Lepisosteus oculatus: one gene and its partners. The protein of the gene in region 3 interacts with the protein of the main gene of each other region in a pairwise test. Links are inferred from orthologs where the notes say so. Each region holds a gene or a part of one and is shown on either strand. Other genes may lie near its edges.

Region 1 (7,629 bases), on a different chromosome or scaffold from region 3:
CGATGTCTATGGATGAAACGTGCTTTCAAGTTAAAAGTGATAAAGATCACAGGGCATGGTACACCTTGTTTATCAAACCCCTCTAGCCATATAAAACACCTCAGTTCCAGCAGAACAGAAGTAGGTCAACTACAGGCAATAAAAATGTATTGGCAGCGGGTTTTTTCTTTTGTAAAAAAAACTGAAAGGTCTGTATTGCTTTGAAATTGTTTTCCTTTTTTGTTGTTATTTTTATAATGCCTTCAGGATGTAATTATGACATTGATTTTTCTCTATAGAAAAGCCAAGATTTTATTACAGTACTGCAGGAGTTTGGTGTGACAGTTTTCGGTAGTTTATTTTTTTTCTGAATAAGTCCCATTCTGTTGGCACCAGTATGTCATTAAATTACACATTTTTCATTGATAGCTTCCTCTCTGCTGCTTTATACAGTCAAAAGTTGATACTTCATTTTGGAGAGGGGTATTGAAATGTTTATAAAGTGATTATATTATGTAAACCACACTGGCAAAATCTAATGACCTTCCACAAGAGAGCACTCAGTGTTCCCAGATAGAAAGCTGTCACAGGATTAGCAATTACTGCTGCTTGTTGGTTGGAGGCCAGATGGCAGTGGTGTTGGGGAGGCATTTTTAACATAGCCCTCTTCATTCTCTTTGGCATTAGATTTCCATGCATTTGGTTTATTTTTAATTTTTAAGAATAGATTTAAATTGAATTCCAGAGGGATCCCATTACTGTGTATACCGGTGTGATCGCTCTCAAAAACAGGTTAGTCATTTAAAGCATGAAGCTGATTGAACTGCTGTCATCCCTGTAGTTTTTCTTCATTTTTCAAGTGTGTTGAGGGATTCATGTCACGTTTACTTAAACACAGATAACAATTGCATGAATGTTTTCTCCCATAATATAGCATGCTTTGACAGCACATTTGGTGATGTGGTGCTGCGTCAGTTGTTGAAGATCGCCACGCCCATGCATGATTCTACTTGAATTCATACAGTACATACAGTGTTAGAGGCTGAATGGGGAGGAGCAGGTACTCTAGAGACAAACCTTTTACTAATCTGCCTGGTCATGGCATTAATTGAAGTACATCAACAATGACCTTGAAGGCTTACAATGCTGTTTCTTGTTCAACAGTGGTTATTCAACCATGGAACCTTTGTATACAAGGTCAGGTATACACAGGAAGGTGGTTCGGTGCACAATTGTAAAAATTAATGGTTTTCTCTCTGGATCACTTTGGGGTTATTTTTTACATTAGGTGTACTGTACATTAACAGATTTCAGCTAACCATGGTACCAGTTCTGTGTTTGGCATTGGGGTTGCTATATCTTTTTTTATATCAAAGGCTGCATTTGTTTGGTAACAGAGCTGAAGTGGAGCTACAGCCAAATGAGCATACTGTAAATCTAGTGAGGAGTGAGACAAACAGTCTGCATAAGAGGATCTCCTCTGGAGCTTAAGGGTAAAGGAATCAGAAGCTATGTGATGCAAATTACTCCGAGATCCATAATCCTTTTAACAAAGGTGCTTCTAGGAAATTATTAAAAAAACAAAGTGTTCTTAATTTCATTTTATGAGTTAAAGAACTGTATTATGATGCAAGAATGCCCCCAGATACTTGGTTAACATATAAATATAATGTCTGGAGGGAAGAGAAGAAAGCAGTGTTGATCTGTCTCATACTGTAGATGATTTGTTCTAACCCTTCCCTTTTCAACAGAAATGATTGATGAGGTACAGCACTTGGTGATTCGTAGGATTTTCAAAACTGAGCGAGCCATACTTTCAGGTGTGCTGAGTGAGCACCCTTGGCTATATTTCCACTGGGAGTAATCCAAACACCCCTGCTAGAGGGAGCAAAGAGGATTTCCTTTTCGGGGCTGGGTTCAGCTCACCCAGTCACTGCAAACGCTGCTGAGCCGTCACCTGGTATGACCTGTGTAACAATGCAACACCTCCTGAGTTCAGTAGCTCAGAAATACACCCAGGTTAACTATGTGTACAGAGATTAGTGTGCCTAATACATAATGCCTCTTACTCATTGAACTTTTTGTTATTCCATCTTGAAACATGTATTTTAGTGCTGTATGATGCAAGGGTGAGAGTAAAGAATGGGATTCTGTTGTACTGCTTGGAGTACGTTTCTAGGATTTTAGAATATTTAAGTCAGCAAAGAAAAAGTCACCATAATACAATAGGTTCCACAGCAAAGTAAGATTGTTCTCATTAATTTGTGAGGTGGGTAACAGAGTGAACAATCCAGTTCTTAAATAATAGAGCACTATATACCTCTGATCTTCTCTAATGTGATTCATGTCTTAATGTTCAAATTTACTATTTTTAGGGCATGGTCAGATTGTACACTTCCTGGTGGACAAATGACTTAAGTATGTACTGATATGAAAAGGTTTTACACCCCATTAGTAGTCCTGTCTTGTATAATGCTGACCAGAACCTAATGGATGATGAAATTACCATCAAATTAAAACAGAAGTCAACTGCATGATACCAGATGGGAGTTCCTGCCCTTGACCTGGTTTTAATACCAATTAATTCTGATATTTTAATTAAAATTGGACTTCTTAAAATTGATCTCTATACAAAGCATATATATCACCAGGTGAAGCCGGGATTCTTACTCCTTTGTAGCATTTACAATATGCCCTTAAAAGCCACAGTTCAATAATAGGACACATTGCATTTTTTTCCTGAAACCCTTACATATATTGATTGAAGACGTAAACTTGGAACAATTCATGGTGAATGAATCGGCCCATGTATTTGCTACAGAAATAGCATGTACTGCGTAAGCCTAGGATTATGTTACGAAAAGAACATCCAGCATATTAGCTTGAGGGATGTTATTTTTTTTTTTACACAATACCCTCTTTTAGACTGAATGAATGTTTTTCACTGATGTTTAAGCTGTTATAATCATACTGTACATCCGTATTATGCCTATAATTGTTTATAAAAACTATTTGAAATTAGAGGTAGTGGACAAGAAATGGAAATACCTGGGATAAAAGAGACACCAGATATTAAAACCAAGGGCTTCCACACAGTTGTGGCTAGTGTAAGTTAAGCAAAAAACATCCCAGAGTGTTAGGATCATGTTTAAAAATGCTGGACAGGCCTGATTGCTTTTGATTGTGTCTAATATGGCTGCAAGAGAACACTTTAGTGACTTTTAAAGATGGGTGATTGTTGGTGGGCATTTGGCAGGACCTTCAGTGACCAGGACGTCCCGACTTAATGACGTCTCATGAGCGATGATGTCTCAGGTGACGTCAGTATGGAACTCCGAGGGACAGACATCATCAGCAAAGAGCAACAGTGGGTAGAAATGTATACACCATGATCATGATATCAAGAATGGCCTTCTGAAAACACTACAGAGCAGGATACCATAGTCACGTTACTGTGCACAAACCACTCTTCACAGCTGGCAATGGACATTATTCCAGTAGAATAAAGAGCTCAAGCAATGGACTACCAAGCCATGGAGAAATATAATATGGTCAGATGAATTATCCACCATGTTCCTAGCAAATGAATATGTCTGTGTGGTGCCAACCTAAAGACCAGGCCTGAGTGTTCGGTACCAGCTGTGAAGGGCTCTGATGTTTCCATCATGTTGTAGGGAACATTTTCTTGGTAAAGCTGGGGTGCACTTATACCATTGGAAGACTTGGTCAGTGCTAATTGCTACTTAATGGTACTGAGTGATCATCTTAACTCCATGTTACAGCTTTCCTGGATGAGTGTCCACATCCATAGAGCAAATGTGGTTGGTCACTTGGTGGTTCAAGGAGCATGACACTGACGTAATCCTGATGTCAATCTCGTGGCATTCTCATCGCCTTCTCAATCAACAGATCTGAACTCTATTTCACAGGATATTCTAGAACAGTGCCTGAGACAACGTTTTCCACAGCCATCAACAAGGCTTGAGTTGATTGCCTTTCTTGTGAACGAATGGGTGGCATCCCTCTTGCAGAATTCCAGACACTGGAGACTCTATGCCATGGAGTGTAAAGGCTGTACCAGTCATATTTGGTGACCAAACATCCAATTCTGTGTTTTTACGTTTATGTTTCCATGTCCACTTCAGGTACATCGTTAATTACATTATTTGAAATCAGACGACTGGAGGTGCCATCAGAAATAAATTAAAGACAAGTGCACAGTCAAAGTAAAGCTTCTTCTGCAGCCCCCAAATTATTGACTGCTTATTTAGTTATGAGGTTACTGAAAAAAAGACCATGGAATCACACACTGCCATGTAAATGTAATGCCGCATTACATAGTAAATAGAATTCCAAGTAACAATTTTTCCTTTAAAACGCAGAATTCCTTTAAATCTCGCAGACTTAAGAACGTCTGGAACAAAGGGTCGGATTTATGTAACAGTACATGCTTTGAGATGTGACGTCACTCGGACTAAAACGGTAAGCTGTGACGCAATGACAGTTCACTGAACGATTTATAAGTGCATGGTAACATTAGTCAACAATATAGAAGACTTACAAAACAGTGGGCGTTGTGTAACCTACTGTAATCCTTTACCAGTTACATGTCAGTGTCCGCATTATCGTTATCGGTTCCGGTCACACTGTGGAGCTGACAGCTGCTTTCATTGTCTAATGACTTGGACACTAACTGTGTGGTCTCATTTTCATTTCTAAGTATTAATCACGGTGGCCAAGGGGTGTTTTTTTTTTTGTTACTTGTATGCGCACGGATGGTCACTCTCAGGAGTTGGGCAAATCCAGCTCCCCAGCTCGGTGTCGGCTTAAGTAGTGTGAATTCTTCAGTGACACTGAAAAGACCTGCACGGACTGCTCAGACTCTTCCAAATTGGTTCATTGAACTAGGTCTGTCTTATGCGGACCGCTTAGGAGGCTTCGTGGCTGCTCACACCCTCCTCTCTCTCAGACCGGACGACTGCTGCTGCTGATGTAAAATGTTCTGTGTGTGGGTTGGGAAATGAACATCATCACTGAATGAAAACGCATTTGGAACTCAATCATTGCCTACAGAAACGGTGCCAGTTATATAACAATCTTCTGTGAGTAATAAGGGGGTAAAACCTTTCGCGTTTCTGTGAGATTGTTGCTTTAAATTGGGATCCTGTTCTTGCTGCTTCAGTTGAGGTAAGTGTAAATTTCCCTCCTGCGTGGCTGTGTTTTAATTTGATAATCATCTCATATCATTTGCGTGTCCGGGGTCGCGCAACTTTTTTTTCCTTTGGATTTAAATGTGGGATCGCGTAGTGGGATAGGTGAAAGCACTCAAAACTGAATTATGTACACAACACGCGAAGTGCCATTGATGCGTAAGTCATTAACATTATTTCTATACGTACAGTTATTTTTATAAATTCTCAGAGTTGTCAGCTTTTCTGTGACCAATAACTGTTTAATAATTGGTTTGCATTCTGGATGTAATGTCAATTTTGTTCTGTTCTGGTATTTTGATAGTAAAACTTGACGATTCCTTGTTGGAAGTCTGTATTTGTTACTAATATATAGATTTTCTTAATCTTCTTCTAAATGTTTAGATTTTTAGTTTCTTTCCGATTTTTAATGTGTATTTACATCAGATTTCCTGCACAAGACCAGCACAGATTTTCATTAACAACGAACGTTTACTTACTAAACTGCTGAATGCATTTACTAATGTGTTACATGATCAAATCAGAATCGCTTTCCACGCAAATGAAAATTAAAAAAACGTGCGTTTAGGCGGTTTCTACGGAGAGACATAATATTGTACTGCACAGTATATCTTTATTATCAATATTTTACTTCTGTGTTGCCACTATGTTTCAAAGTGTTGTCTTATATTTAGTGGATTAATGAAGCTTATAAGTAAAGAGTTTCATATCCTTTGTTATAATTTAAAGCGATAAGGTGTAACAGTACACTTTAAGATTAGTTTTGCTGTGTTTTTGCGACAAATCTAGATATTAATACTAATAAATACATACAGACAATTACTCTGTATGTGATATTTGAAATTTCATCGTTTTCGTAAAAGGTTTATCATGTCTTAACAGCAACCTGCTTTGGAGGTATTAAAGAGAAGAAAATGGCATGTACTGTAGGTTGAAAGTTTTTATTTTTATGGAGCTGTTCTCAAAATCTAAACTGTAAGGGTTGCCAGGTCATTACTGTGCAGTGCAATATTTTTTTGCAGTTGTGGTGTTTCGATTGAAGTGCACAGAGGGAGGGATATCTTTAATTACTTTTAATATTTCTGCTGACATTTTGTTTTTGAATAGGAATGAGAACTACACTAAATTGAAGCTCGTGTGGTTCCAGAGAACTCCACAGCAGAGATGCATATTCTTCTAGCAGTCCAGGCTTTACAAAATAACGCTTAGATTTTTGCATTTAAATACTAATTGTCTTACAGGAAGGGATGAACAAGATTGTGCAAAATCTAGTCTGTACCTTAACATGCTGTTTAACAAAATGCAGTGGCAAAATACAATATTTAAATTTTTCTGTGTTGTTTTAAGTTATTTTCTTCTAATGCATGTTACTTTGTTGCGTGTGCTAATATCTCAGATTTTGCATTCCTTCTCTTTGCAAGAACAACTATGATTCCATCTTTCATTATGCGTCTTGTGTTCGTTGAGGCATTTGACATGTCTTCCAATAAGCACTGCTAACTGGAACTTTTCAAAATTGATCCAAACAGCTAATGCAGTCCTGATGCCCTATTCGTTGTCCCACAAGGAGCTACAGTAATCATTAATTATTTGATGTTCAGCCGCTAGATAAGTATATTTAAAAACATGTACCAAAATGCAAGTGTAATATGGAGAATATAGTAAGGTGAACATAAACTTCAAATGTACATACCGTATCCCTGACCATTTAAAACCTGGTCAAATCAAATCATTTACCATGTGCATCCAGTAATGGAGCATAACACAAAAACAGCGAATGTATCGCCTTATTTCCAACCATTAGAATATTATATTGAAAAAGAGGAGCAGGAATAACCATTATTTGAGCTTTGGGACAGCCTAAGCCAGAATTTGTAAATACACTAGAGGTTGTATTCACAATCTGCTGTCCAGCTGCTAATACATTGCTAATTGCTAATTGTAAGTGGAACTTGGCAGAATAGTTGTACGTATTCTGGTTTGTCTTTAATCATGTGCTTGCTTGCCCCAAAGGTTTTTGTTATCTAACAAACTTATCCCAGATTTTCAAAGACAATAATAACCTTTCCACTAGGTGGCAGATTGTTCTCTGGTGAGATTTTTTATTTTATTTTATAAATCTGTGGTAAATGTGTAATACATATATCTAAAAAACTGTTACCTTAATAGCATTCCTCTTATATGAAATATAAATATATTGATAGGCATTTTAAACACAGTAAATGCATATTGGAGCCAATGGGTTTTGTTGCATTTTAATGCCTCTAATTATATACAAATGTAAAGTTTTAAAATGTAAAGAAATATGAAGTTTTTTGCAGATGTCAACCATTTAGTTGTCAAATCTTAAACCTGTTGATTTAGATAAAAGTATGTGTATTTCTGTTTTTTTCTTCTAATACGTTTCTGTAGTTGTTGTTTCCTTGACAACAAATAATGA
Region 2 (8,075 bases), on a different chromosome or scaffold from region 3:
GTTCTTTGACCAATTGTGGATTAATACAGCGTCACTTTTATAATAAATATGTCATAAAGGTAACTGTTTAACCCATTTGGGATATCTTACAACAACTGTTGTCTAATGTTTCCTGTAAAAGGTTTTTATTTTACGATGATTCCCATTTTGTGAAACTCATATTAAGTTTTTTTAACGTTGCATTCCAGTTCAGTCATTCGGTCTGTTGACTGACGGGTTTCTTAACAGCTCGGTGCTTTCAGAGTGAAAACAAATGCCAAAATTGGCTATTTACTGTAACGTTGCACATTTAACGAGTGTCATCCAGATTCGCAACTTACTTGGCGTCACGCAGAGAGCATAAAATTCAAGGCTTCCAGGAAAATCTATTTGGCATACATTAATTGTTTAATCTGCTTTAGATAAAAGCAGTAAGCAGCCAAAGAGCAGCACTGTTGTCAATTAGCTGAGCACTACAAGCTACAGCTACTGTTGCAGATAAAATGAAAGCGCAACAGACTGGCCTGTGCAAAGTTTGCTTAACTAGCATACAGTATGTGATGGCTATACTGTGACCACGGCCTCCTATTCCTTTACTTATAAAATAACAGAGGTTATGCGTTAAAGATTGACCATCGTCTATGGGCAGGATTCTATGAATATTTCTTCTATTAAAAATGTCCTCAATACTGGATTATAAAATTGTCACCTTTGCCATGATGTACTTTTACAGTTTATTTTTCAAACCCCTGTTTTTACTATATGTCAAGGCAATCTGTGTTGTTCATGTGCACGTTTTCAACTTTCATTCAGCCTTATTACCGTTTTTTTGGCTTTTACTGCGAATCATTTAATCGTATGAATAGAAGGGTACAGCTCCTCTCGCCCTTTTTATCAGCTAAGAACTCCCCACACATTTATATAAAAAATGAATCTTCTATGGATGTTCCTACATTAGTCATGAACAGTTTTGCAACTCCCTGGCAGTGACATAAACATATTCCAAATATCGTACCCATTTGTGTTAGCTGCAATGTACAGTACATACAGTAATGTGTATGTAATGTTGACGTCTTTCAAAATGATGTTGTTAATCAGTTGATCAGAAATAACATAACTGATGGTTTAAATAAAACTCCCAAGTCTGTGGATAGAAATCGTAATTGAGTTTGTATAACTGTAATGCCTTCACTAGTCAATAAATGCAATTAAATTCAGTGACCTAACGCTGATTTGATCTTCAATGATAATGATACAGTATTATATGAAAAGCTTGTAAACTTACTGTATTGTAAAATGTTTGGCTACAGCTCATTTCCTAAAATACAAGGGAGTTTTATTTTACGCGTTCTTCCTGAGGAATTGTAACAGTATTTTCCATATGTGATTTAAGTTTTTAAAGCCTGCATAAGTAAAACATTGCAAACCTTCAGACAGAAGTAGACATATTGTTTCCCTGTTTTGTACAGTATACCGTATTCCTGGAAACCAAATCATTCGTAGTTTAAAAAATGTTAAAATACGCAATGTGCTTAAGTGAATCATTACATCTAACATCTGCTGTTGTCAAAAATGATTGTGAAAACCTTTACCCTTATTTTACTGTACAATAATCAACATTTTTCTAAACATAGGCATATTGAGTGTAACACATAATGTTTTTGTTAATAGTGGGTTTTAAACTAAAATGGCCAATGCTGAAATTATTTTATTGTTGTTATTTAATGACATTAAATATAGTATTATCTTACTGGGGTAAATATAATTTCAAATATACTGTAAGTAGTGAAAAGTAACTAGTGTTTGAACAAATTATATACATTAAGCAGAAATTATTTTTAGAATAATGAAATAGTAATTGAATGTAGTTTAATACAAAATCCCAGAAGGTAAATGTTGTTCGTAATTAGGTGAACTCAGATCCAAAAGCAAAACTATGGTTAAAAATATCTTAATGTTTGTAAAATAGTTGAAATACATTAGAATACTAAACATTGAATTTTAGCATAAAGTATCTTAATTATTACACTGAATTTATTAGAATCTAAACTTTGCCATTAAAGCAATAACTAGCTTGGTGTTGTTTTTAAAGAGTTTATGAGCAGTCAAAGTTAATTCTCAGAAGACCTAGGACAAATCTGTGGATAGTTGATAAATATGCGATAATGATAATGAATGATGATGAAAGCTAAATGATATGTCCCAAGATGTTAAGATTCAAACCTTTACCACTCACTTTCCGCCTGGAAACTGCTCTTTTTAAATTTGATTTAATTTGAGCAATTATTTGAAATGTTTGCATGTTTTTGTTCAGTAGGTAAATAATTTAAATCTATGAAAAATAGATAAACATTATGATTGCAGATGTATGACAAATTCTCAAAATAGTATTGTTAGGAGCCTTCATTGTTTCACACTGTACAATGATTTATATACTGTACCTGTATTGAAATAATCATGTTTTTATTTTTTGGGGGTAAAAAATGCTCTCAACCACAATAAAAAAAAAAATCTGTATATAATGTATACTGTATATACCTTCCAATAATGTTGGGTGCTCTACTACTCTTCCATAAAGGAGTAAAGCTCTAAAGCTGCAATACAGTACTTTTCCTTATTCCAGAAAATACTGCTGACAAATTCAAAGGAAGCACTGCAAACATCTTGTTGGCAACTTGGTTAAAAAAAAAAACTTTCAGCTCTTCAAGTGTATCTGAGGGTAAGTATTTAATAAAATATTTGCTTTTCATATGTCTCTAAATAACTGAAGATATTGTTCTATACTGCTCTGGTACTGTTGCAATACAAATTATAAGGGTGTGTCACGAATATACTGTACAAAGTGGTAGTATTGCCTTTAATACTACCAATGAAAAATACTGTCTTTGCAGACGATATACTTATCAATTAACCATTGTTAATGAAGGAATAAGGAAAATCTATTTTAGAAGATTTCTTATGTAAGCATTTGTATTAATACAGTGACTTGCATATGTATAAACAGCCCTAGTTAGGAAAGATTAAAACCATTGCATAAGAAAGCAACTGCAAATTGGATTTTTCTGTTTTATTTTTTTTAACATTTTAAAACATTTAAAATAAAATATTTAATCCTAATAGCATTGCACACAGCAAAGTCCTTAATTAATTATATTCCAGAAAACACAAATATTTTGACGTGGGGAAATCGCTTGATTTCCTCCACCATCGTGAATCCTGTGCTCAATATCCCAGAAATCTCTCCCACCTTGCGCAAGCGTGGTGCCTGGTGTCCTAAACCCACAAGTCGACCACTGCGGCTCACATTCTGGATGAGGTACTACTGTACTCTGACACTCACATCTCAAAATGACACGCTACATCTTAAGAGCTGAACAAAAGAAACTAGCACAGATCAGTGTATTCACGAAACTCAATAAAAGAGAGATCCAATGACTCTAAACTCACTAAAACGGATGTCCAATGCCTTTATGAACCTGTGACCATTCCAAAACCACTATTCTCCTCGTCTATGGTTCTTTCAATGTTATTGATAGCTACAGTACAGTATGTCATTCTTAACATCAGATGCAGAACCTTCCTGAGCAGGTTCATTGCACGGTACATTGCCTGTCTTAAAGCAGTCTACAAGCCTGCAGCTCTTCTAGATCTTTGCTTTAAGGCTACACAAAGCAGCTAGTGACAGTCATTGCCCTTTCTTCAGCAGGAGTTAGCGCCACAACCTCCCCAGCCTGCCACTGCTAAGAAAAACAAGCTCTCTGCCTTCTTGTCAGCCCACCTGTTTGTACTGTAGTTGCAGTGAAGAGTGCAGCTAACAGTCTTCTCCATGTCTGCCAGGACAGTGAGATCCTTCTCTGTTGGATCCCAGAAACTCAGACACCCTTCACTGCTGCCCTGTTAGACCTAATTACTAGTGATTCAAAACCTTCACGAAAGTCATCAATGCTATGGAACAACAGTTGGTTGACTTTTGTGATTCTTATAATTTTAATCAATGTAACTGTTTTAGGAACAATAGTCAAAATATTTACCATCCAACCAGATATTTTATTTTGGAATTGAAATACAATCTTATATACAGTATGACGCTTACAATTTATATTATACAGTATAGGACTCATTTCAATACAGTATAGGACTCAAGTCTTATTTATTCCTGTATCTGAGTTATGAAGTTTAAATAAACATGTATTAACATGCTACTCCTTTGTTATATTTCTAAACCATCAAGTGATCATTTGAAAATGTAGTACTGAACATCATTTAGAATTTTTTTGGACTATTCCTAATGTATTTGGGTATAACTGTATAGTTTAAATACTTTCAAATAACATTTTGTGAAAACAATGTGAATAATAAAACAATTGCTCTAGTTAAGCATTTAAATTACTTAAACTATTTTGAAGAGTATTTACAAATAAAATATCAGAGACCGTTTTGCTATGAAACTATCGGATCCCTGCACCTTTCAAGATCTGCATGTAGCATTCTGACACTACAGTGGATGTCACACTACGATGTGGGTTTTTCAGTGTTTTTTTTTTATTTTCCATTTCGTTCTGCCATCCAGATATGAATTGGTCCTTGCTACTTCTTCGCTTAATCACAATTTAGTCAAATGCTTTTATTGCCCTCTGATTCAATAAGGCGATTTTTACAAATAATTATAGTTCTTCTATCATTCTATTCTTCTTTAAATCGTATTTCTAGAATCTGGTTCAACGCGTTTAACAGTAAGTGAAACTCGTTTTACAGTAAGTGAAAAGAAACTGGCATCCATAACACAGCCCCTCTTGGCTAAACGGAGATAACCCAGGTTGCAGGCGATAACTCCCGCATGCGAGGAAAGCAGAGCACCCAGATTAGTGACCTGGTGCACCTGCGAACTCCGGCCGGCGGGCGAATTGAATGATGAGGCGCAACTCTTCGCTGCGGCGAGGCTGAAGTGAAAAGCGTACCGTACCTCACAGAGCCGACAGCAAATGAGCTCACCTATAGCGCTGTCCCGCCCCCACGGCCCGGGGAAGACGGGGGCAAAGGCGGTGTGTGTGTGTCTGCCGAGGGAGGGTCTCGGCTGGGTGCTCGCCAATCACGGCGCGCACATTAACTTGCTGTCAGCAGTCCAGCTGAGTGCAGGGAACAGTGGCCGGGGGACAAGGGCTGGAACTTTCCCAGTGCGAAAACTCAGCGAAACAACTTTGACAGAGGGCTGAAAACAGAAACCTTACAGCGCAGCACCAGCCTTTCCAGATTTCTGCTTGTTAGTAAGAGAGAGGCTGTACAATCCTCGGCAGTGTTCTGAGACTGTATAGCCCCCCTCCCGATGACAAAAGGTCTCTCTTCATTATAAATGGATATTGCTAGTGTTTATTAGTTACGTTCTCCTTTCATCATTACCGTTAGCTAGCAGCTATTTGTTTTTCGGTAGTTTTTTTTTTCCATTATTATTTTTTTTTCTATTGTGAAAACTTTTCAAAAGCACCGCTGGAATTTCTGGAGGACACGGGATTTGATAAAGGACGTGTTCAGTGCTATTTCGACCACCATGACCGCTGAAAAAGAAAAAAAGAGGTAGGGTGCATTTTTCATACAGTATTTAACCTGTTTTTTTTTTGTTTAATGTTTCGATTGAGTTACTGTCTTGGCAAGCACAATGTCTTTGCAATGAACATAACGTGAGGACCGATGTAACCAAGATCACTGACGCTGCTGTTAATAGGACTTGTTGCGCTGCAGGGAGAACATACTGTAGTGAAGTTTAAGAAACTGCTGTCAACCTTCTGACAAGGGCAGCAACACAAATGTAATGATATGAGCTTATACCTTATGATCCGGACCTCTTATGCGATGTAAAGTGAAAGGATTTGCGCTGAATATTTTTCTTTCAAATGTGTGTATGTGGCGTGCAGCTGCGATCTGCACGGTATTTATATGCCGTCTTAATTTATTATATGATGTACATACTGTACATTTTGTCACGGTACAGCCTGTTACAGATACTGCGATCTTGTCCAACACCAAATGTGTCCGACATACGGTACCAGTTCCAGAAGATATATGCTACCATTACAAAAATAAATATTGTAATATTGATTGAGAGTTTAATGGTTAAACTTGTTTTTTTGTTTTTTTTTTCTCTGCTGCTGTTTACGGGATTCTTTTTTTAAATCTAAACTTTGATCTCTGATTTGATTGGTATACCACGGAGGAGTGTGAGCAGAGGCGACCTGTGCGAGTCTCTGGTATCGTGCGGCTGTTGTGTGGCCCTAGTTAATACGCAGGTTAATTAACAACAGGTGAAACAAAGCGTAGAGGTAAAATACAGTGACAGGTCGATTGTGAGGTGACTAGGACACTGTTTTCGAGCTGTAGTAGTTGCAAAGCATTGACCAATTCTGTCATAAAATGTGATGGCAGAGTTATTTGTGTGTCTCAGCATTTTAATATACTGTAATCTGCGGTAAAGCAACATAAATCATTGCGCACATGGTTACCTTTTCATGTTTTTAACCCTTAGAATATGGTATTATTCATTTAATTGTCTCGGCTGCAAAAGTGAAGTGATTCTGAAAAATCTTTTTCGTTTTATACTGTATTCATCCTCATACCCAGTGGAATAAAATAAATATCCAATAATAAGTGTAATAAATAAGATAGGGATCTTTTAAAATATTAAGTATTTTAGCTGTTCTTATTTCAAGAATTTATCAGGTTTGCAATTTATGACCTTTCCCATTAGTTGCATACCGTATGGGAGACCGTAACACTGGGAAACTACAGTATGTGTAATTGATTTGTAAAGTCACAATACTGTGTAATTCTGTACTTTGCATTTGACAGGTTATTAGAACAAAATGTTAATTTCCATCGTTGTACATAACATTTACACATTAAATGTCCTCTGTTTCAGTTTGTAATTCTTCTGTAAGTAAAATTATATACATTTTAATTAGAACTTGTTAGGACTGGATATATAGCCTGCAACGTCAGGCTGTTACAAGCAAAACTGTACAATACAACTATTTAAAAAGTATGTGAAGATTTTGCAATGTGTATGATGGGGAAAATGTGTACTTAGTGGCTCTAGTAATAACACAATAAATTCGCTCGCAGTATGACTTCGGTTTGTATACCATACTAAAAGATGGCAGCATCTATACTGCACTCAGGAACATATTGAGTCATCCATTTGATTTATGTTTTGTGTTTTTTTTTCCGTTTGTTTCCATCAGTCTGAAATACAGTTTTGAAATGCTTCATGTTACCAAACTGAAACAGGCCCAGGAAGTGGAGTGTGAGGAATGATCGTTCACTATAGCCTTTCCTCCCTCACAGGCCAAGGCTGTGTGAGTTTATCCATACGCCATGTTAACACGTTTTGTTTCTTTTATCAAACTAGGTTCGGTCTTCAAACCCTTTGTTTGAGAAATGGACTTGCATCTTCCAGATCTTGAAGATTTAGTAATTGCTCTGATCTCTCAAGCACAATTAAGGCCTAGCACTGTGATCGCTATTCAGAAGTGAACAAATATACGTTGTGGATCCTCAAAAGACAGTCTGCAAGTTTATGTAATCCTTATATTTTGACAATAGTAAGGAATAGTTACAGGCACTGTGATTCAGATTTCATCATAGCTGGCAGATCATCCAGTTTTTCTGTGGTGAAATGACATTTTATTTCATATTTGTGAATCCTAATATCTGCAGGGTATAGACCATATTATGAAAATAGAATATCTTCTATCATTTGCTTAGGGGATACTAGAGTTCATTTCCTGTTTCTCTTCCTAGGCATGAGCTCTTAAGTACGCTGGTAACCTGGTTGTTCCTCTATAAAGCTTGCAATCCAGCTGTGTTTATATTTCTTCCTCAGTTTTCATTACATGACATATTCATGTTTTGCAGTTTCCAAATATAATTAGTAAAATAACAATTTAGCTCTCGTTGTTATTGTTAGACCCAGTACCTATATTTAAAAGCCTGGGCAGTTTTGAATAGCTACTATTTCACAGCTCAACAAAATGAGAAATGTATTTTATAAGCAATTCAGTAATAGTTCTGTACATCAAGCAGGTCAGTTTTTATAAACTTGTACC
Region 3 (7,817 bases):
TCCAACTACAGTAGGTCATGTTTTCCATGACATTCATTCTACAGAAAAGAATAAAAAATGCTATTGGATTGTTATTGACTCAACCAATGCTCATCACAATGTTTTGTTTTAAATAGCCCCTATCCTACCTTGGACATGTGAACATCTATGTTGTCTTTTCAGATTAGCTTAATTGACATTTCAGCACAGTCGAATATTTGACACTCACCTAGCATTTTAAGCAATGACAAGGATGGAAAGCATTTCCTATAAAACATTAGACGTTTCATAGGGCTAAATATCATCTGAACATTACAGGGTGCCCCAATCCTAGTGATGGTAACCTGCGTGTCTGCTTGTTTACCATTTATATTGGAATTTCAGTTACTTTAACTGAACAAATGGAGCGCTTTAATGGTGACTTTCCAGTATGTGTCAAGTAATTGAATGTTGAATGAGTGTAGATGTGCAAAGAGAAATTCGATTAATTCCAGGAATTACTATGTTTCCAAAAAGAGGTGCAAGAGAAGAACTGCCAGTGTGCGCTAACTGCAGGGAAGCCAGTAAAGTCGAGTTCGGCACCAAGAATTAAACAATAAAGCGATCTGCTGGAAAAACAAACCAGTATACAATGGGGTCAAAAGGACCCAGACTGTGAACTCAGGTCCAGCGGGAGTGTGTGTTGGTGCTGATATAGTTGAATGGACTTTGTTTAGAAAATATTTTTATCATCCTTATCATTTTAAAGTCATTTCCTTCTTTCTCTTTCCCCCAAGAGAGGCACTGCAGCGTATAACTACTGAGCCTGCTATTTTGGTGTCTTCTTATTAAATGTCCAACTACCACACTTGGAAGTGCCCTGCAAAAGATAATTCCGGGTGATACTGTACAAATGGAAACCAGCCGAGGTCTGCTTCGTGTCCGAAAAATTTATGAAATACAGCATCGAGCCAATTCACCTGGAGTGAGAGAAATTAATTTCAGTTGAAAGGTGGCTACAACTGTGCGTGTATCACTCAAACTTTTCATAATCAAAACTGACTGACTGATTTGTGATCCATCTTTAATTGAAGAAAGTACTGCATAAAGTAACTTAAATCCTTAACAGACCAAAGGTATCTGGAATGCACAGTAATACAGTTCAGACCTATATAATCACACTGGTTATGTAAACAGGTTTCATACAAGAACAGGCTCTACAATAGTTGTGTTGTTGTAAGAGCAATCACTTTGAATGGAACTGTATGTTCTTTAGTTCTTTCTGACTTGGGAACACCGGCACTGACTGAATAGCTGTGTTATTATTTACCTTATGAGGGGTGTACGTCAATAAATATTATTTTTTCTTCCCTGAAACACAGGTAACGGTCTCTGAGCTTGCTCTCTACAAATCCACAGAAATATATTTCCTATCTCTTCGTAATACGATGTTTTGCTATAAATTCTTCCCGTGAAATTTCACGCAGATTTCTATTGTCATATGCGATTGAAATAAAATAGCAATTTTAAAATTGATTAAAATGGTTTCCATGTACAGTGCAAGCACTTTTATAACAACAGTGGTGCTTCAAACAGTACAGTACTTTCCATATGGATAAGGACTCCACTGGAACTTTGCAACGACTATTAAAGGTAGTATTATTATACTTACAGTAGTATTATTATATATAAACAGCCAAACTGCGATACATAAGTATACTATTACATGGCACTACAGAAGAAAGAAGCTCCCAAACATCAGAAGCTGAACAGTTAAATATTCTCATGCGTAATACTAGCCAGACACGGAGAAGAAATAAATGAGCAGAAATTAGACACGACAATAATGAGCAGGCTATCTGTACAATCCCGGTCAGTAAATTCCTGACTCTGGTGGCCAAAGATCAGCTTAATTGTGCATAAGTTCAACAAATATAGGCAATTATAAAAACGTAACGCAGGAGGAATCACAAACTGTTTCCTTGGAATTAATTTCTTAGGAGTCCCAAGCTAGCTGACTAAAAGAGCCCTTTAACTCCTTATCTTCCGGAATCGCCGGAATATTAAATACAAGGACACCTACAACGAGGGTGAAACGATTCCATTTTTTTTCTCATCTACAAGCACAAAACAGGCAGCCAGACCCAAACTAACAATAACCAACAATCTGATATTGTTTTAAATTGCAGAAATCAGCTGACGGTTTCTTGCTGGAAATGCAACCTCTCGTTAATTATTTCCGTGTAAGGCAATAAGAGTGTTGGTAGGCCTAAAAGAGCTAGTGAACAGAACAATCCTACCTCGCAACAATGTAACAGGTAGTTAGAAGATGAAAGGAGGCCAATGTCCTGGGGGAAATGACAAATTCCCAAGTACGGTAATAGCCCCTACAGAATCGCCTCCGTGAACACTGACAGCTGTCAGTTTGCCTGTTGACAGCTACGAAACCAACTAGCTACACATTACATGCTTAGATGTGAAATAAGGCATTTTTTCACACCACCTCCGAGTATCTGAATGTGTGCAACATTTGACCCCAATAAAAACCCTATCAACGCGCCCGTGCGATGTACCGTATTTAAAGGAAACGCACGCGTTTTCTGAAGAAAATCTTAAATAACAAGCAGTCGTATAGATGTATACACGTTATTTTTTTTTTTACAAAACACTATCCATATTCAGTTTGGCACATGAGAAATGTGAAGCAAAACCCCGATTTCTTGAGGCCACTGTAAACGAAAACAGACTTTATCCTTCGCGATATGAAAGCACATCCTACGCCTTTAAAGTTATATATACATAAGGATTGCCCCTCCTCCCGAAATCGGCAATATATCCTGATTCGGAACAACACGTTACATTACAGTGTTACCTGCTTTTATGTCTGCGATCTCTCCTTATCAATATAGAGAACCAAGCCGTAAAATACTGTGCATTGTACTTACGTGATGAAAGTTAAATAAGCACATTTAAATACAGGGTAACATGGACGGTGATAAACAGCAGCAGTCTGTGACCTACTTTCTCCCTTCTGTAACTGTCGTCGCACCACTAACCTACTTTTCAACCAATTATGTCTTTGGAGCGGCCTGCATAGTCCTCGCAGCCAATCGCGCCGGGCTGGGGCAGCGCCTGGCCAATCTCGCAGGGCCGGATAAAACAAAGGAGCATTTCGCGTTGCGCTCCACGCCACGGGCGCGCAATCTCGGAGAGACACGGCCAATAGGAGGAGGCTTAGGAAAGCGAAGGAGGAAGGAAGCCTGCCGCCGACTTGGAAAAATGGTGAATCACCGAGCGCTGAAGGAGGAAATGTATCCACGACTTCGGAGCCGTGCGCGACCGTGGCACCCGATTACTCAGGCGCCCTGTGCGGCCATAAAGTTGCACGGCTTGAGTCGGATGGTTGCCTTGGCTGTAGTCACAGCTTCACACCGTTGGAGCCAAGAAGTAGACTTTGATCTTTAAACCCACCCATTTCACTGACCCGTGTGAATTTCAAGAAGAGAGAGTCTGAGCAGCGTAGTTGACAGCTCGGTGTGGCGCATCGTGCCTTACAAATTACGCGCAGTGTTCGCAAAATACAGCACCCAAGGCATCTGTCTTCAAAGAAGGCTTTTTTTTTTATATGCGTTGATGTCTTCTGCATCAAGACATTGTATATTGATGTCTTTTACAATATAGTTTCTTACATTATAGTTGCCAAGCACACACACCAGGTTAAAGGATACCCAGCACAAGATATGATTGTAACAGGAAATGGACATCGTAAACTAAAGAATGGGATTCAGATCATGGACGGCGCTGAAACCAAAAGCAAAATGCGCCACCTGTTGGAGTTTTTTTATATACATGGTCACTCTGACTCAAGAGTAGTGTTGCCACGATTAAGTAAAATATAATAATATCCATTACAAAAAAATTACATCAAAACTATGCCTCTTTTGAATTTTACTCATATTTTACCTCCAATATAAATGCATTTTAGAAGGCATAACTACACATACGCACTCTCTCCCGAATTACAGCCTTAATTTGTCAGTTCAGTCTGAAATCATCTTCCGAAATAATTGTATACCAATTGTGGAAAAATCAATTTTATTTAGTGAAGACTGAACCACCACACCTATTTCAAATCCGTTGATGTTCTTTTTAATACACATATTGAAAAAAAAAACCTTATCTGTTTTGTGTTTAGAGTCAGAATTACGGTGATGTAGAGCACACCTTTTAAACGACTATGATAAACGTCTGTGACGCTGAAGATGGATGATATCGTTACTTCAACGACATGTCATCTGTCTTTACTATATAACTATTTTCTTACACTGGTAAACTAGCCCAAAGCTGCGCCCTGTGACCTCATGCTTTATTATAGTAATAAAATGAAAACCCCTCGTCTTATGTGCGTCTCCTACACAGTATACTGCCATTTCCTTTGGGAGCTGTAAGAGAGATCTTCTTAATCAGTCTTCACACCAGAGGTGTCCATCTGCGGTCCTCAAAGGCAGCTGGCCAACAAGGTTTATAGGTACTTTACATCTCCAGCTTCTGAACAACAAGGGAAGTCTTCAACGTGTCCAATTAAATCAATAAAGAGTTGAATTAGGCAGTTAATGACTCGGGTGGAAAGAACAGCAGAAATCGTCCGTGTCTTTATCCACTGCAGTTTCCTGTATGGTGGGTTTGCCTCTTTCAAGCAGATTTCCACAGAAGCCCGCGCCATTCTCTCAGAAGCGTGTCCTTGTGCCACTCAGCCTGGCCACCGCTGATGAGAAACTGATATGGGCTGCAAGCGGAGATCTGATTAGGAATGTATTGGCCCTGGTCTTCGATCATAGTTTTGTTGGTCCATCGGTTTTTATAGCTGGGCTCCTTGATGTGAGCCATTGATTCTTCTTCATTTCTCATCCCAGGATCCCCTTATGGAAAAGTAATTGTTCTGGGCTGGGGGAGGGGTCCTATTGCTGCTGGCTTTGGTTTCATGCTGTCAATTATATAATCGAACCGCTAACTGAACCTAATAATAGGATTATTTGGACTCCTACAATTGCTCGTAAACACGTTTGAGGTTGCCTTTTAGCTATAACATTTCATCGGTAATTTAAGACCTCCAACTTTCTTAGAAAGAAACTTGCAAAGGTCAAGCAAGGTCTCAGTTTCCACTCAAAGTAGATTTAAAGTAGATTAAATGCTTGCACCTGCTGCGCATTATGGTTTAAATAGAAATCAAACTCATTAGCGAAGCAACGCTTTTAGTTGTAGTTGATTGGTTTCAGAGTTTCAGCTCTGACTTCCCATTGGTCTACGTGTTTGTCAGTTAAGGGGCGGATCGGAAACTGGGAAGCGGCGTCTGATTTGAAACAGAGTTACAGTTTACAGTTGTTACTTGTTGTTTTGTTACTGCCTTCTTTGATTTTGAGAAACCACTTTTTTTTTTTTGCTATCATGTCGCGGAGAAAGAGCAGTCACGGAAAGTCGCCACGAAGGCGTAATGTGGTTTTGGGGTTTGACGAATTTGGTTTCGCTGTGTTAGGTAGAAAAGATGTGAAAATATCGCCAGGCAGATGTCACGAATACAGGTAATGCTCAGACTACTTTATCTTGCTAGTGCAACTGCACAAGTCTAGTTTAAGGGTGGTGATTTTTATACCACACACAGTGTATCCATTATCTTCAAAATATTTATGGGAAACGTGTCGCTAAAGTAAAACAATTTGCCATTGCTAAAAGAGAAACGAGAGACATCACGGGGACATTTTTTACAGCAAACTGCTATAGTTATAATGCGTCATTTTGAATGTTTTAATGACAGCATGCCCTTACTATTTATAATAGCCCCACGTGTTTCTTAATCTTCTGTTAATGGCTTGGTATAAAAAATTATAAATACTAAGTCAGCCCCCCCTTAATAATACGAAATATTTTGAATTACCTTCTTGGAAGAGAGACGCCGCAGTTCATGTTAAAAGTAATATTCCCGAGAGTTTGACTGGGTTGAGAATAGGTAAATGTGTATATATATATGTAAAATTGCATTCTTTTGAGTGGAGTATTAAAATACTGTTAGGTAATACATAGAAATCACCACAAGGTCAATAGTTTCCTGGTCGGTTTAACATATATAATGTTTTTGCCTCCTTACAAATTCCTCATTTTACATTTTCATTGCTTATGCATTGCTTTTTCATCGCTTGGTGTTTAACTTTGTTCATTCCATTTTAATAGCTACCCCAGACCAAATGCTGTGAAGGTGAAGGAATTGTGTCATTTGCTCAGCTACTGGAATGGTTCGAGTTTCATCTGCAAGAACCAGGTAGCTTGGTGCTGTAAAGTTAAACTCTATGATCACAGAGAAGGATCTGGTCTTGACTGACAGCACATAGAGCTGTTGAAAGTACAGACCTACTGTAAGTCAGATGTGCAGTGAGGCTCGCAGGTGCTTGCTCATCCCGTATTCTGAGATGTCTTCTGGGACCACTGCCTTTATTTAATATTTCTCCAGAATTCCCATCTCTTTTGCCATGTACAGAAATGTATGTTAACCAGGATAATTCCGTTTTTACTGAAACATGTTGTAAGTTAAATGGAAGGCTGCAATGTGAAATTAAAATTCCATTTTTAATTATCCCCAGTGGCATACTCAAAGTTGTAATGTGTTTTTTTTGGTAAATAGCAGAATAGTTTAAAAATATTATTATTATTATTATTATTATTATTATTATTATTATTATTAAAGCTCTTTTATTGAGTTTTTATTTTTGTATTTTTTGCATATATGTACATAAAATCTGATATTGTGCTTTGGGTGTTTATTTCAGATTGAGCAATTTATTAAAATAGGGCTTCCACCTGAGTTACGCGGGCGTGCATGGAAGTCTCTTCTGGATGTTGAGTCAGTGAAAGGTGGCAGTCCTTTCAATTATCAGGTACTGTGCCTTTTGCAGTTTTCACATTTTCCTGGGATTTTTTTTATTACACTTTTTTTATTATTTGGCCTATTTCTTTAGTTCAGTGAACATGCAGAATTTGTTAACAAAGGTACTCCACAGTTTGCTTGATTACCAGTGCTGAGGGGCAATTGGAATCTTGTTTAGCAAGAGTGGATGACATTCTCTCTCTCTTTTTAATTTTTCTGAATTGTAGTAGAGATTGAGATTAATTTTTCTTTACAAGTTTTTTTGCCTGCCTGCCTCTCCAGGTAATATGATGACACATTAGCTACAACTATAAATTACTCTGCTTAGCTTCCCAGTAATCCCTGCCTACTTCCTTGAGGTGATCTATCCAAACAATTACTAGGTCAAACCATAGTTGAAGTCTGAGATCTGAAGGCATTAGGTTTAAAGATACCCATTGCATTTTCACATAAGTGTGCACTTGAAACTAGGATAATCCAATTCAGTATTCTTTCAGATCATAAATTATTTTTATGCATTGAGTTTGAGTAAAAGGTTTTTTTTTTTGCACTGATTCATATTAACTGGCACCAAAAAGTGGTGTCTGTAACACCTGGAACCATATCTTTGACATTTTAACAACCTATCATTCTTTCAATGCTAAAACATGATGAGTGAACTTCATTATCAGGTAACTTAAACTCATAATGAACTGTACACCACTATAATGCCAAATTGTCAGAGGTAACAAAGGGGTTTCTGTTTGTCAGTTTTTATAATCAGTTGCATAGAATCCAGAGAATTCATGAAAGACATCTGCTACACAATTTTAACAATAATTTCTGCATTTTTCTTTAGAACTGTCTCAAAGAAATTCGAAGGCCTCTCGTTGACCTTGGTGTGACGGAGTATAGTATCCGTTCTGCAATCACCATTTTGAGTGAAACGGAGAATGAAATGAGA

Evidence for each region.
Region 1: the proteins of bmal1b (region 3) and npas2 interact in binary tests that used the Homo sapiens proteins (3 or more experiments, as listed by UniProt). The link is inferred for Lepisosteus oculatus from reciprocal best matches to the Homo sapiens genes BMAL1 and NPAS2.
Region 2: the proteins of bmal1b (region 3) and epas1b interact in binary tests that used the Homo sapiens proteins (3 or more experiments, as listed by UniProt). The link is inferred for Lepisosteus oculatus from reciprocal best matches to the Homo sapiens genes BMAL1 and EPAS1.

Annotation. Positions count from the first base shown.
Region 1 is NC_090703.1:45,028,625-45,036,253, forward strand, and holds the start of npas2 (neuronal PAS domain-containing protein 2), read left to right. Parts: upstream 1-4,547; 5' UTR 4,548-5,081; exon of another isoform or gene 5,082-5,166; intron 5,167-7,629. UniProt on the Homo sapiens protein: Transcriptional activator which forms a core component of the circadian clock.
Region 2 is NC_090712.1:13,467,268-13,475,342, reverse strand, and holds the start of epas1b (endothelial PAS domain-containing protein 1), read left to right. Parts: upstream 1-5,066; 5' UTR 5,067-5,524; coding exon 5,525-5,550; intron 5,551-8,075.
Region 3 is NC_090716.1:8,949,895-8,957,711, reverse strand, and holds the start of bmal1b (basic helix-loop-helix ARNT like 1b), read right to left. Parts: upstream 3,093-7,817; 5' UTR 2,904-3,092; intron 1-2,903. Other genes in the region: TBC1 domain family member 10A, read left to right, coding at 5,404-5,537, 6,184-6,271, 6,777-6,884, 7,713-7,817. UniProt on the Homo sapiens protein: Transcriptional activator which forms a core component of the circadian clock.